Linked DNA regions of Drosophila melanogaster. The protein of the gene in region 2 purifies or fractionates together with the protein of the main gene of each other region. This does not show direct contact. Each region holds a gene or a part of one and is shown on either strand. Other genes may lie near its edges.

Region 1 (4,299 bases), on a different chromosome or scaffold from region 2:
TGGCTCTGCGAATGGCGCAGGATATTCAGAGCAAGGACGGCATCACATATGTGTTTGATCTGATGGCCAATTTGGCCATGGAACGCGAGCAGTTTAAGAAGGCGGAGAAGATATTCACGGACGTTATGAAACGGCTTTTTGCCGAGGGTCACACCGAAGAGAGTCCCAAGGTGGGTGACCCACTTAGACACCATAACCAGTTAAGATCTCTTTCATCTTTAGATACTTCACATCAGCTCCAAGATAGCACACATGTCTCAGCTGCAAGGGGATCTGGAAAAGAGCTTTCAAGGGTTCACTTGGACCTTGCAGCAGTTGGCTAAGCTACTGGAGAAAATGCCCGACGACAAGGACATACTGGAGCTGTATGGCTTGACAAAGAATTGGTATTGAAGGTGTTTCCATTGCCGCTAACCAAGCCTTTTTTCAATACTTTTCCTTATGTTTATTTTCCAGGTTCGGGCAGCTGCTGATGAAGCAGGGAAAATACCTGGAGGCTAAAAACCTCTTTAAGGAGGCCTTCGACACGCTCATAAATGTTTATGGTGCCGTTAACGACGCCTCTGTAACCATCCTAAATAACATCAGTGTGGCGTACGTAAACGTAGGTGCGTCTATTCTTCCAAAGTACTTGAAACACATTAGACTAATTACAGCTGGAAAAGTACGCCGAGGCAAGGGAGACCCTTTTGGAGGCCATGGAGCTGACTAAGGAGCTAAAGGATGCCACCCAGGAAGGCATTCTGCAGGCAAATCTGGGTTTGGTGTATCTTCGCGAGGGCCTGATGTCGCAGGCGGAGAACGCTTGCCGACTGGCGTGGAAACTGGGAAAGCAACACCAGAATCCCGATGCCGTAGAGCAGGCCGAGTATTGTCTCAACGAGATAAAGACAACCCTGAATGGAGAGAAGCGCCAGTGAGGATTCTTTTTACAGTGTAATTTTGACTATTTATAAAAATTTCATTTCGAAGTGAAGCACAAATTTGGAAGGCTTAAAAAATCTTAAATAACGCCGCATTGTTTATATTGGGAACTAATAGCGGTTACTGACTGTTGAAATATAAGAAATTTAAGTAGTTGCTCATCGTTTTGAGTAGGTAACGAACAGAAATCTTTCAAATTGTTTGCGGCACACTTTCAGTACATGCAATTAGATCTTTTTTGTGTTAACTTTCCACAATTTTGATATTACTCGAACTTGGCGATAACGATCATTAGGGCTACGCCGGTTAGCAGCGCAAAGATTTCCTTCAGCGACTGTTTCAGTTTCGTAGACTCCTCAAGCAGCTCCGGCAGGACACTCACTGTTGCGATGTAAATAAAACCGCCGGCTGTGAAGGGCAAGACCCATGGGGCCGATCCGTCCCCGCCTCCAGCTCCCAGAAGAGCTAGCGCTGTGCCCGCCAAAGCTCCGAGCGCTGTGACGAGCTGCAGAAGCATTGCCTTTCGCCTGGAACAGCCAGACTTTATAAGAATGGCAAAGTCACCAATCTCATGGGGCACTTCGTGCAGCAGAATAGTGATAGTGGTCACAATGCCAATGCTGTTGCCCGCCAAATAGGAGGCGCCGATGGCCAGGCCATCGGTGAAGTTGTGAGCAAAGTCCGCCGCCAAATTCAAGTAGCCGGAAATCTCCACTTCGCCTTCTGGCTCCGCTTCTGGTTTCTTGGACTTGATCTTGGCTGGCTTTGCCGGTTTGTCTCCATCTCCGCTGTCTTCTTTGTCAGAGGACTTTTTCTTAGCAGGCACTGGTTTTGGCTTTGGTGCTCCATGGCTGTGGCCGTGTCCTCCATGACCGCCCTTTAGAATGCGTACCAGTTTCTCCACTGAAAGGAAGGCAATGATTCCTCCAAGGACCCACAGACCAATGCTCATATCGTGGCTGTGACCATGTTCATGCTCCTCGCCATCATGATGATGATGGTGATCATGGCCGTGATCGTGGCCGTGTTCTCCATGACTGTGTGGATGCGTGGCATGAGGAATCAAGTGCAGAAAGGCATCACCCAACAAACCGCCAGAAGCAAAGGCCAGAAGCACTTTGAGACGCGGCTTCATCGCCTCACTGTTGTCTAGGGGAATGATATACAGCAGCACGAAGGGAGCGGCACTGATAAGAAGAGTTGAGCCGATCGAGTGCAACCAAATGGTGCTCATATCTATAAGAAATTTGGGTCAACTCGGGCATTTTAAGAGTGGTAGTTCGTTGATTACCCAAATCCGGCTTTGCCTTGGTGTGCCTTTCATCGTGCCCGTGATGATGGTGTCCGTGGTCGTGGTCATGATCATGATCGTGCCCGTGATGATGGTGTCCATGATCATGCCCGTGGTCGTGGTCATGATCATGATCGTGCCCGTGGTGGTGGTGTCCATGATCGTGGTCATGATCATGATGATGATGGTGCTCCGCCCGTGGAGCCTTCTGCGGATCGAAGTTTTCGTTGGCTTCCCGCGAGTATTTGAAACTGGGATTGCCCTGGCCGGCGCACAACGCCGGGAGCGAGAAAAGCACTGCTCCCAGGATTACGACCAGTGCCAGCTTTTGGTACAACTGGAGCTTACTGCACTGGTAATCAGCCACTTGTTTGGCCATTTTGTCCTTTACTTTAGTTTCGCGTCGGACTGCGGCCAAAGTGTTGTGACGTGTTTGCTTTTTTTCTGGCTACGTTGTTATCGATTAGCGTGTAAATCTGGAGGTATCGATTGTTTCGCTCAAATAAAAAATAAACTTGTGTATATTTTCAATTATAAGTTGTACTTTGCCGCTTTTGCTTACATTAACTTTTAAACGGAGCTTAAGATCCGACAGCTTGCCAAGTCAATGCTTACAAAAATGCAAAACATTTAAAATTTATGCAGCGTACTGAAAGAAAATAACTTGTTCACACTTTGCCGTTACAACATTTCAGTTTTAAAATCTTTCTAAACTTATTATATATTCAATTTTAAACTAAACCTTTTAAATACCAATACAATTAAAAGTCACCCCAGCATATTCAGAAATAAAGTATCTTTATTTTCTGTAGGCTAACCACCGACATCGATTGAAATTCACTCAATTAAATAATTTTATATTTGTATATTTGCATTTAAATGACTATTAAATATTTGTATGCTTTAGTTAGTTTCCTATGTATTTATCGTTACCAGACATGGTTAAACGGGGCTAATAACTAGACACGAGAAGGTGCACATTAATTTGTTGCGTGTTGCGACGATGCCGATGATGAACCGATTAAAAAAGAACTCGTAAATTTCGTTTGTGATCAATAAATAATAATTTCGATTTGCACATGACACGGCAATGTGAGTGTGTGTTTGTTTTGTGTATGTATATATACAAGCCACTTTGGTTGCTGTTTGAATTGCTGCTGATCCTGCCGCCTTTGCTTTTCTTTCGTTTCCGTTACCGCCGTTCAGTACAGGTTGATCTTCTTGAGTATTGTCTTGCGACACATGTGGCATGTGCGGAGCGTTTCGGCACAATGGGAGCACGCGCCGTGCCCGCACAGGAAGGCCACATCCCTTTTTCGCTCCATGCAAATACCGCAGAAGTGCGACTCCTCAAACTCCAGCACTTTGTTCTCCAGATAGCGAAGTAGATCCCCGGACGGTAGGCGAGTGGGGTCACTAGGTGACGACGTGGACGTGGGCAGGGCCACCACTCGGCCGCTGACCGTCAATCGCCGCTCGATCGCCACGGCACAGCGGAGACACTTTTTCATTCGGATGCCGCACTCCTCGCAGGCGATCTGATGCTGACACGGCTCAAAGCGCACCATCGGCAGGATCTCATTGCACACAATGCACTCATGGGGACCGGGGACGATCACCGGACTGGTACTGGGTCCCGCCGCTCCGGCTTCCAACGCGGTACTGCTCGAGCTAGTGGTAACCGGAGGCTTGGGCGCCTTCTTGCGCGGTGCCACCTGTGGAGAGACGTTTTGCGGTGTTGCGTCGGAGTTCAGTTTCTTTACGCCCGGCGAGGCGGAGGGCGTGGATGGAGATGCTCCAACTCCAATGGCTGGGATATCGTTTGGCTTTGGCATTAGTTCAAATGTCTGGCGCTGCGGTGGTGGGGGTGCTGCAACGCTTCCAGGTCCGGCTCCATTGGATTCAGCTCCAGCAGACGCAGAGCTCTCCTCACCGTCGGCTGATCCTGCGGACACTTCCAAAGCTTGAAGATTCCTAGGCAGCGATTCAGCTTCGCCCTGCTGCCCAAAAATCAGTTGCCTGATGTGGCGGTCCGTTATCCACTCAAAAATGCTTGCATTGGCGTTGTTCAGCTCCACTCGGCA
Region 2 (5,334 bases):
AGAAATACTTTTAACTTAAATAATTTCATTTCAAGGGGTATTAAACCAAAAAAAAAAACCTTAATAACCTTTTTTAACTATATGTTCAGCAACTGTGTAGATATACGCTTTTATATTAATTAAAGTGTAAATATTAACCTAACCTAATAAACCGTCCAACTAAGAGTACTTTGTTACATGTTCAAGTATCTAAGTTTTATTCAAGCATTTCAATTATGAACGAATACTTCTAGTTATTTTATGTTTGGCTAGAAAATCATATTAACAGTATCCGTTTGGTTCACGCATAAACTAACCACAATAAAATGTATTAATGCATTCCCACCTCAATCCTTTGCAGATTTGGAGTTGTTTCGTCGGATGCCAAGCATACCATGTACTACTGCTAGGTGACCGATGTGGACAAGGCAATAGGTGGCGGCGGCGTGGACGACGAGATCATCGAGGTGGTGAAGCTGTCCCTGGAGAAGGCCAAGCGGATGATCCAACAGGCAGCCGTCAACAAAAGCCCGCCCAGCTTGTTTGATGTGCCCGATGCGTAGGCCTAGAGGCGAACGTTGTGTTATAACACTCAACACTAACCAATACGAATGCTTTCCAGCTGACCCGCATTGTGAGGGCGCCTAGCGTACACGATATAATATTGAAATTCCCGTGCCCGTCGAGGCTTAGCTTATGATATGTATACCGTGTAATATATAATGCACCCTGGCCAGATGTCCGCTTATGAATTCGGTCAGACGTGTCATCTCAGCTGCGAGTTCCACTCCCACCGCGGCTGCCAAGTGCATAAGTCGCCTATAAATCAAAATGCCGCAAAACGGGTTCCTCTTTTCTCCGATCAAAACCCATCCGATCCGATTCGATGTGATGGGACCTGGTACTGTGGAGGACCAATACCCATACGTACCCATCTCATCCTATCCGAAGCCCCTGTCGGGCAGATCATTAAATGATCATTAAATATATTATAAAATCCATTTTTGTGATAGAACGTTGTCTACCGACATTTTTTTTTGCTTTCGCTTTAAGTTACTACATAAATACATATGTATTTAATCGCACGCGCAGAGCGGCCAAGCAAATCCTGCAGGTCAACGCTGCGGCACATGTCGCACACACATACGCACAGTGGTAGGCGCCCACCACCCAAACACACTCGCACACACACGCATGCAAATAAACGCATAGTAATTGCATTGGCACGTTGTATAAATAAATTTGCAAGTGTGTGTCGCTGCTGCCGTTTATTTATTAAACGTTGTTGTTATTGTAGCTATCATCAACTTGCCAGGGGAAGTACAGAGTGAGTAAAACGGATCAGTGAGAAAGTGCAAGAGAGTACAATCAATTTCGTATTGTAAATAAAAAGAGAGAGATAAAATAAATTTCCCAACTCACACGGTATCATTAAATGTAAGTAAGGAACAATAAGTTCTATTTGTCAGTTATAATTGAGCCGCCAGTGGGTTCGGATCAGTTTCAATTTATTAGAAGTGCGCCTGTGTGAAAAGTTTCCCTTCTCCACTAACAGAGGCAAAAAAGGAAAGCAAAACAAAAATAAGAAAATAACCAGCAAGGCAGAGCAAGTGAAACGGACAGAAAAAACTTTCATTTTCAATGTCAAGCAACAATAAAAACGTCTGCCGGTTGGGGGAGGCAATTTTGTGATGAGAGAGCCAAAAACAAAGAGCGGGATTAAGAAAGAGAAAGGAAGAAGGTGAGAGAGATCTAACTTTCATTGTACAAGAGCATGAGCATTGGTAGCAATTGCTTGCTATCTCTGTTGCCAGCAGAAAAAGCGTTAATTTCTTTTCGATTTCCGACTCAAAGATTCAAGAACACGTGCAATTGTTGCTGGTTATCAGAGAGCGAGAGAAATAGAGAGCATGAAAAACAGCTGACGACTGCCTTTCTATGCATCTCTGTTACACATCCTCTTGTTTATTTACACTGAGAAAAACAGTTTTACCATTTACTTTAAATGCGATTTTGATACCATCTCATTCTTTTTATAAGCACCCTGTATTAAATCAAATTAAACAAATCGTAAAATTTAGTTTCACTTTACATTTATTATTGAATAATTATTATTATATATTATTGTCTTTATAGATTTGAAAAGTTTTCCCATATCGTAAGTGATGTATTGTTACTTTATTTATTTGTTATTAAACGTTTGTTTTTGCTCAGATTATTTATTTTGGCGGGAGAGCGCCACACCGCTCTCTCCTTTTCCGTCACCTCACACCATGTGGTTATAACCAGACGCGTGGCTTTACAACAACAATAGTCTTACAACAATAGATGCACATACTGACACTCGCCGCACACTTACACTCGCACAGATGGGCAAAATATTGAAAAATTGCCAAAATAAGAGACCAGACATTTTTCGAATGTCGAAAGCAAGACATACTATAGACACCATATAAAATAATGGGAAGACCTCTTGAAAACTCACCATGCTCATAAGGCGAAAAGGTTCCAGCATCTATATTGATATAGGGGTCAATCTTGATCGAGGTTACATCCAGACCACAGGATTTCAAAAGCGTTCCGAACGAGGAGGCAATCACTCCTTTTCCCACGCCACTAATGACGCCACCAGTTACCAGGATGTATTTCATCCTTTCGTCTCGAATGTCAATCTTTGGGATCACCAAATGTGGAGGATTATCGTGTTATCGGTTCAATTCGCGGTGGACACTCAATCTGAGGCAATCCGAGCCACAATTTATTGTTTATTTGCCTTTGCTGCACGTGGTTTTAGAAATTGGATTCGTTTAATATCTCATACGTATTTATGGTATGACCACCGCTCATTTCATTGAGAATACCAGTGACTCACCGTGTGTTGTTAAACGTCACAAAAACCGCGCGGTTTCCTATGCATTAAAATTGAGTTCCCGCAAAAATAAACAAGAATCAAATGTAATTTTAGCATAGCAGTGAGGACTGGTTACATATTTATTTGGAAACTTGCGATTTAAATCTAAAGAAAAAATGGCCTATAATTCGTATTACTTTCCCTTGTTTATATTTTTACTCTTTGTGTATAGTTTGCGTTTTTAAAAGGAATTTCACGTTTTATATTACCAATTTTAAGTGTAAATAAATCATAATATCCGGTAAATTTGAATTGTCATAGATCCAAACAACTTTAAATGTGCATATTTAAAATTATATTAAATAATTTAAAAAGAAATTTCACCGAGAAAAAATATTTTTTGAAAATAAACATCAAATTCATATTGAAGATAAACACACTCCCATTTCAAAGCGCAAAGCATTAAATGTTGCATATTTATTGAATTTTATAAGAAATTATTGAATTATTGAATTTTATTTATACAAAAATAAGAAAACTTTGAAACTCTGTAAATGCGTGCCAAGCGAAAGAAACTCCTTGATCAACCAGTTACTTGCTGGCCTCCTGCTGTTCGAACAGAGGATACTGTTCGGTGACACTCTCCCAGGTGGTTCTCGCCGTCGACAAGTCCTTGACGACGCCCACAACCTCCTCCAGACCGACGCGCACCTGTTTCATAGTATTCCGATCTCGCAGAGTCACCGTATGCGGTTCCTTTAGAGTGTCGAAGTCCACGGTGATGCCATAGGGTATGGCAATCTCATCCGTGCGGGCATACCGCCTGCCAATGGATCCACTGGAGTCGTCCACCTTGTGCGAAAGTTCCGCCTTGGTCAGGGCAGAAGACAGTTTCTGAGTATAAGGTTGAAAGTCGGTGTTGTTGGACAGCGGAAGGATGGAGCACTTGATGGGCGCCACCAGAGGCGGTAGCGTAAAGTAGCACCGCTGCTCGTCGCCGTCGCGGCATTGGAAACTGTGCTCCAACAGGGAGTACATGATGCGACCAATGCCGAATGAAGGCTCAACCACACTCGGGATGAACTCCTCCACATGGACCGTTTTCGTAGAGTGCTTAACGCTGATGGTGTCCTTTCCGAGATCGTGGCTTTGGCCATCGGCCGTGGTCAGTTTGTATTGACCATCGCCAGCCAGCTGTTCCTCTACCTTGGTTATCTCCTCCAGCGAAAGCTTAGCCAACGCATCCGTGATGTTCTTTGCCTCCTTCTTGAAGGTCTTTCCGAGAGCCTGCTTGTTTGGCACAATCTCGCTGACCTCGACCGTTTTGGGAGCCGGCAGACGCTTCTCGGCCACCAAACGCACACCTGTGGCGGCCGTATGCTGTCCCAAATCGTAGGCACTGCGATCCGCACATCCTACGCACTCCACCCATCCGTAGGAGGTAAGAATTTCGGCATCCCAGCAATCGCATGCATAGTGAGCCATCTCATTGGACATGTGCTGCCGGAATCGCAAGCACTCCGGTTTGATACCAATGGCCAACAGGAACTGCTGAATGCGGGCCATATAGTAACCAAGTGTCTCATTAGCCACCAGTTTGGATGCCACTGCTTCGCCGATTTGCACCTGAGCGGCAGACTTTCCATCCATCTGGTTGCACGCCGAGTAAAGGGTCAACTTTTCCGATTTGATGTTGCCAAATTTGGGATGGTCCTTGAGCACGGGATCACAGAAATGTTCAATCTCTGCCATGGTGAACTCTCGCACACGGATCAATCCCGATCGGGGTGAGATTTCATTGCGGAAGGAGTTGCCAATTTGAGCCACAGCGAAGGGAAGCTTGCCTTGATTGAATTCCAGCAGTCGCTTGAAGTTGACGAAGATACCCTGGGCAGTTTCGGGCCGCAGGAATCCCTTGACCAAGCCAGTGGGTCCAATTTGGGTGGCAAACATCAGGTTGAACTCAATCGGTTCTGTTAAATCATTGCCGGTTAATGGAGATTTGATGTTGTATTTGGCCAGGACACCAGCCAATTCCTGTTTGTTCAGGCCATCCAGTTTAATGATAATATCCTCACACTCGGCCTGCAGGGCGGGAGTTGCATCCTTGGCCTTAGATAGCTTTTCCAAAGCCTGCTTAATGAGATGATCCAGGCGGAAGCACTCGCCGGTCTTGACATCCTTGACCATCAGATCAGCGAAACGCTCCACATGACCAGAGGCTTTGAGCACAGGTTCGGGAGTCAGAATAGAGCAGTCCACCTCCAGCATTTGCTCTTCGAGGGCGAAATACTGACGCCATAGGGCCAGAATGTTGGACTTGAGGGCACAGCCCATGGGTCCAAAATCGTACTGGCCGGTGATGCCGCCATAAATTGCGAAACTCTGGTCGTAGAAGAAGCGACGCTTGAGTAGATCCTCCATCTTCGCGCGATCGAAACTAACGACACTGGGGGTCAGGGCGAGCTCTTTGTCCTCCAGCAGCTTCTTGCGTGCCTTCAGCT
Region 3 (5,339 bases), on a different chromosome or scaffold from region 2:
TTTGGGTTTTGTACTCTGGCACCAGGTGCGTGGCTTCTTTTCTTTTCTAAAAATAAAATTGCAATTGTAAAGGATTTTTGGTTATTGGTTAACATTAAAGCATCAAGCATCAACAGAAAAATAAGCAAAACTACAACAAATTTGATTACGAATATGCAATTTAATCGTTTAAAGCAATGGGTCGGGTCTTCGGTGCAATTATGAAACTTGAAACTTTAGGAAAACATATGTACATATAGAAGAGATAGAGAACGTTGATGGCGTGGTTTGGTGTCACTGTTCTTAGGAAACGCCTTCGTTTGTATATTTTACATGTCTCGCCTTAAAGACGGGATGTTAGTCAGCGAAAGTTTTACTTGTTTATTGTGCGCGTCGCGGCTGTGAAAAACATGGAACTAAAATAAATACACATGATGTCTGGCACGTAGCCGACAATGGCCCCTCAGAAACCCCTTCTTTCCAAGTTCAGTTAGGTTTCTTTTTCGGGCTATTCAAATCTAATAGTTTTTGCCTAAATATAGAACAAGCTCTTTGGCATGCCCATAAATTTAATGCTCACAATAATACAAAGTAATTGTAATGACAAGATCAGAAGTCAATATATACTATGTACAAATGACTGGGGTCGCTATTTTACGGATTTTTTTTTGTAAGTGCTAACAATTTTGCAAAAAGTTTCTAGGTTTTCATTTTTAAGATATACCCATAATAATATGTTCAGCTTTCGCGCCATTTTTTTGACCGCATCTGTATATAATAACGGTACTGCGTCTTGGAAATTGCAAATGTTTGTCAATGGGCGTGGGTGTGACAGGGATAGCGATAGGGACATGTATCGAAACTCCCCTATAGACGAAATTCAAGGTCACGCAACAACAACAACACCAAAGCTACTACATAATTTTGTTACCGTTAAAGCTTTGCAACCCCCACAAGCAATATAGCCGTCTCCTTCGCACTAACTCTAAATTGAAAGTTGCTTGTATTTCCATGCCTATGTAATTGCTTTTGGTGTACATAAGTGCCTACATACATACACATGTTTTACTTTTCCAGCTGCTTTTGTTTTCCCTATTTATTTGAAATGTTTTTATGCTGTTTTGCACTTTTAATTTAAATGCTATATAGCACAAACATAAATATGTATAAAATCAAATCAAACAAACCAACACGAATACATAATATGATTTATTTAAATTATGTACATTCGTTTGATAAACTTTTCTGATTAATTATCGCAATTTTCGGTTGTAAAATTGTCGATTTGGCACTCTTCTCATACAATTCTTTCATCCATGTACATATAGATGTCAGCATAATACAAATGAAAACAAAGATAACGTGCAAAAAAGAGCCGCATGTGTTGTTTTTTTTTTTGTGTTTTCATGTGTTGTTTTTGTTTTTTGAGTGCTTTTTATATTGCGCCGCTTGTGCTTTCTCCTCTTCTTTAAACGCGGATTCTTATGTATTTCCCCCTCTGTAATATGGATGTACATACATATACATATGCTGTTACCGGTCTTATGTTTGTTTTGCCCGGTATAACCTTGAAAATTTTGTGCGCCTCACGAATTTCTATGTTTTTATTGCCGTCTCCTTCCGGTCTCTTTCTCATCTGATTCTTCATCTCCTTCTTTCGCACTTGTTGTGCCCCCTTTTTCGGATAACAACAACAACAGAAATAACAAAATGAACGCTTTTCAGCATTTTTTTCGAATCTCTTTTCCACCTTCGCGCTTTTTATTGATGCGTGTCCGAAATTATTTTTTAACCCCGAAATCAGGAAAAGGTTGAGTTTGTAAGAAGTGGAGAGAGAGATAAAGAGGAGCGATGGAAAAGAGCATAAAAATAAAGTGACGCTGTCGAAATTGCGTCGCAAACATTTCGCAAAAAATAAAATACATAAGCAATGTCCAATAAAAAGAACAAGAAAAAGAAGCAGAGACGTTCTCACCATTGAATGCTGTTGTTTGTTTTTTTTAACAGAAGAGATCGAACTATTAGGCGCACATGAATTGCATAAATAGATATAAAAGAAATTAAAAACCAATTTGTGTCACCCACTCTTTTTGAAACTACAGAATAAATTTGATGGTTTTGTTATGCCTTTTATAAACTGAGAACTGTATTTGTTTGGCATCCAGTAACCAGAAAAATTGAAATTTTTTTGTATTTTGCCTGGAATTGTTTGCAAAATTCCCCGTCCAGAACCCTTCTAATAACACATCTCGGGTTTGGAGTCATATTATACTTTAGGTCATATTGCATTTGCATCTGATTTTGTTAAATACTTAAATAATCGTTAATTATGCAGAGTGAATTGTACCACCACTGTGAGCCAGCAATTCTGGTAGATAATATGGGAAAACAAAATCGGATGACATGGAAACATTGGACGGGGCGCCGAATGCAAATAAACCTCGAGACAACGAAAATAAAATCAAAAAGCCTAAGGAACAAGTTTGGCAGGCAGAAAAAAAAACAAACAAATTCACCCCCCATCCAATGTGGGCAGCTGTTTTTTTTTTCGGTTTCGGCTTTCCTCGTTTCAGTTTTTCTCGAATTTTCGGGTGCGTGCGTGTGTGCCGGTTGATTTTATCACGTAGACCAACGTTTTCCAATTGGAGCAAATAACGCGCATCAACAAATTCTTAAATTTCACCTATTTTTATTGAAATCATCTAATATGGCATAATTTTGTGACCGCGACTGTAATTTCGTTTTTGCTTTTATATTCGCATTCGCCGGCAGTTTTTTTCGCTTGCTTCTTTGAATTGGTCTTCGTCAAGATCGATGTTGTTGTTGCTGCTGCTGCTGTTTCTGCGTTTTTTTTTATTTTGCCACTTACCTAAGTGCTTTTTGTTTTGTCTCTCCGGCTGTTTCGCTCGCTCTCTCTACTTCTGTCTTTGATGCTGCTGCTGCAACAAGAACAAAAACTAACGACACGACTGCAACGACGTTGGCCCACTGCAGTTGACGTTGACGGCGGCTGCGCTGCTTTTATACGATGAGGAGCCTGTTTAATAGTTGTTGCTTTTCTTCGTGGGCTCCTTTATTTTTTCCCTGCCTCTCTTTCTCTTCTTATATGCGTGCGGGGGAGAGGGGTTGGCAAGGCAAATGGCAAAAAATGCACTCAAATATCTTGTGTCTCACAGAAAAAAAATACACAAGTGTGTGAGTGTTTACTAAAAGGCTCCTTCACACGCGCATACACACACTCGCACACCCACAACTATTCAGTTGCGTGTGCTGTTTTTTATGCCTTATTCACCTTCGCTTTTGTTGTTTTTGCCGCTTAACGATGTGAACTTTTGATTTCTTTTTCAGTAGGATTGGAACAAAAAGGATTGAAGAACCGCAGAATAAGGAACCAATAACGCACACTGTTGTTCACGCCGTGAAAACTCAACTCGACTGAACCAGAGAGCGACGAGACGTGGGTTTTTATACTTTTTCGGCGAGACCGTGCTGCCAGACTGTTCGATTCTGGTAAGGTGGTGGGTTATAAAAGCGCACTTGGCGAAGCTTCCCCTTAAAACGGGGAAGTTTATTAAAAAGTTTGCAAATATATGTAAATACAAATTCAATCCTATGTAGTAAGCCTGCCTATGAGGAAAACTAAGATAAACGAAACTTATTGAATTTTGATGGCTTCTGGGAATGGTCCAACAGAGTGGCATCTCAGAGAAGTAGTTTTTAAAAGAAAAAGGAAAGAAATGCATACAAGCAAACATATGCATATTTAGTAAAAACAATGAAACATTACTTTATTTACACACTCACTGGATGTATATATATACTCGCCCAATGATCTTACCTTTTTATCAAGATTTAAAAACATTCAATTCAGTAAAATCTTATTTTCCAGGAATTTTTGAACAGGGCGGGCAGCTACATAACCCAAATTGCAGCACATTTCCAATTGGCGGCAGAAAGCGATGCAAAAGAAAACGAAGTAAATATTGAACAGGAATTGCTGTACATTTCCAAGTGGCGGCAGAAAGCAAAAAAAAAAAACAAAATTGCCGCCAATTGTGGCTCTCTTATTTGTAATTTTAATTACCATATGAATATTTATGAAATTATATGTTGAAGATTCCTTGAATTAACTCTTATTAATTTTTAATTTGAATACATTTTTAAATAAACGCTGATCTATGCTAACATAAAACGCTCCTTTTTCGAAATGTATGAAATATGTTTATTTGTATGTATGTTGTATATGTATATGTATGTATTCATATGATGTATGTAAGTAAGTAAGTATGTTCATAGATTAAGGAAAAGTATTCAAATCCATTAATCGCTTGCGTTCCTTTTCGCGGAATGCCCGGCGAGAGGAGCGCGTAGCTCCGTGCAGACGACGAATGATAGGGTTCTTCTCACAGTGGATATTCGGATCATATGTCGAAACCGGCGGGTCGGCATCCCAGTCCTTGGCATCACTTTCCTTGGCATCACAGTCCTTGGCATCTTCTTTTGCGTCGCTGTGGCTCTCCTCGCGTAAGTAGCTCGGGCACTTGATGATATGTTCCTGCAAATGGGATAAACAATTGAATTTAATATTTGCTTACATACATATAATATATATTCATAACCTACATATATATCGGCAATAGGGTACATATGGGTTCTGTTATATGGACAGCGAGCTAATTCGTCCGATGGAAATTTCTTGGCACAAAGCGGCAAATGGTAGGGCATTTTAAACAGCATTACCAAATGCGAGCTAGAGTTGGGACAATTGACATATTCATAAAGTTTTGGATCCGCAGACATTTTTACAACTAGTTTTGTTCGCCTTCTGCGAACTTCCCCTTCGTCAACTTCAAAGTGAGCATAGAATTTCGCAACAACAATTCTATTCAAATCTCCTACAGCGTTTGGTATTTTTAATAGAAGCTTGCAGTATTTTTTTCAAAATGAGCAGAGAATTTCGCAACAACAATTCTATTCAAATCTCCTACAGCGTTTGGTATTTTTAATAGAAGCTTGCAGTATTTTTTTTTCTTAAAATAATAATATAAAAATACAAACGTTCGATTGTTTGCAGTGCTTGTGTAAATTATAAAAATGCATTCTGAAATATATTCATTTGTAAATAATTTATTATGTTATTTACTAAATGCGATAATTCCAACACTTGACAGCCCTAAGGAGCGCTGCCATACTGTGTTCTATATCGATAACCGATAGTCCGGCGATAGACGTTGTTTACCTCTTTTAACGCACGTGCGCCGATCAATTTGCTAAATTCTTTGATTTATTGGTGCGTTTAGAGCCTATAAAATGCCGCCCATTGCCCAGGAGGGCAATTGCCTGATTTACCGCGGCAGCAA

The links. Proteins that work in one complex are often made in the same cells at the same time.
Region 1: the proteins of Ctps (region 2) and Catsup purify together in Drosophila melanogaster (affinity purification with western blotting, with the first as the bait; one study listed by BioGRID). This does not show direct contact.
Region 3: the proteins of Ctps (region 2) and Pdcd4 purify together in Drosophila melanogaster (affinity purification with western blotting, with the first as the bait; one study listed by BioGRID). This does not show direct contact.

The regions. Positions count from the first base shown.
Region 1 is NT_033779.5:19,040,241-19,044,539, reverse strand, and holds Catsup (catecholamines up), read right to left. Parts: upstream 2,679-4,299; 5' UTR 2,595-2,678; coding exon 2,216-2,594; intron 2,161-2,215; coding exon 1,190-2,160; 3' UTR 926-1,189; downstream 1-925. Other genes in the region: Ttc19 (tetratricopeptide repeat domain 19), read left to right, coding at 1-170, 223-386, 457-604, 657-920; mib2 (mind bomb 2), read right to left, coding at 3,418-4,299.
Region 2 is NT_037436.4:15,095,647-15,100,980, reverse strand, and holds the start of Ctps (CTP synthase), read right to left. Parts: upstream 3,068-5,334; 5' UTR 2,631-3,067; coding exon 2,465-2,630; intron 2,448-2,464; exon of another isoform or gene 2,194-2,447; intron 2,138-2,193; exon of another isoform or gene 2,116-2,137; intron 1,721-2,115; exon of another isoform or gene 1,479-1,720; intron 928-1,478; exon of another isoform or gene 341-927; intron 1-340. Other genes in the region: GlyRS (Glycyl-tRNA synthetase), read right to left, coding at 3,422-5,334. UniProt on the Drosophila melanogaster protein: Catalyzes the ATP-dependent amination of UTP to CTP with either L-glutamine or ammonia as the source of nitrogen. Constitutes the rate-limiting enzyme in the synthesis of cytosine nucleotides.
Region 3 is NC_004354.4:13,751,982-13,757,320, forward strand, and holds the start of Pdcd4 (programmed cell death 4), read right to left. Parts: upstream 3,426-5,339; 5' UTR 3,272-3,425; exon of another isoform or gene 2,849-3,271; intron 47-2,848; 5' UTR 1-46. Other genes in the region: CG32625 (uncharacterized protein), read right to left, coding at 4,277-4,534, 4,603-4,779; Rtc1, read left to right, coding at 5,290-5,339.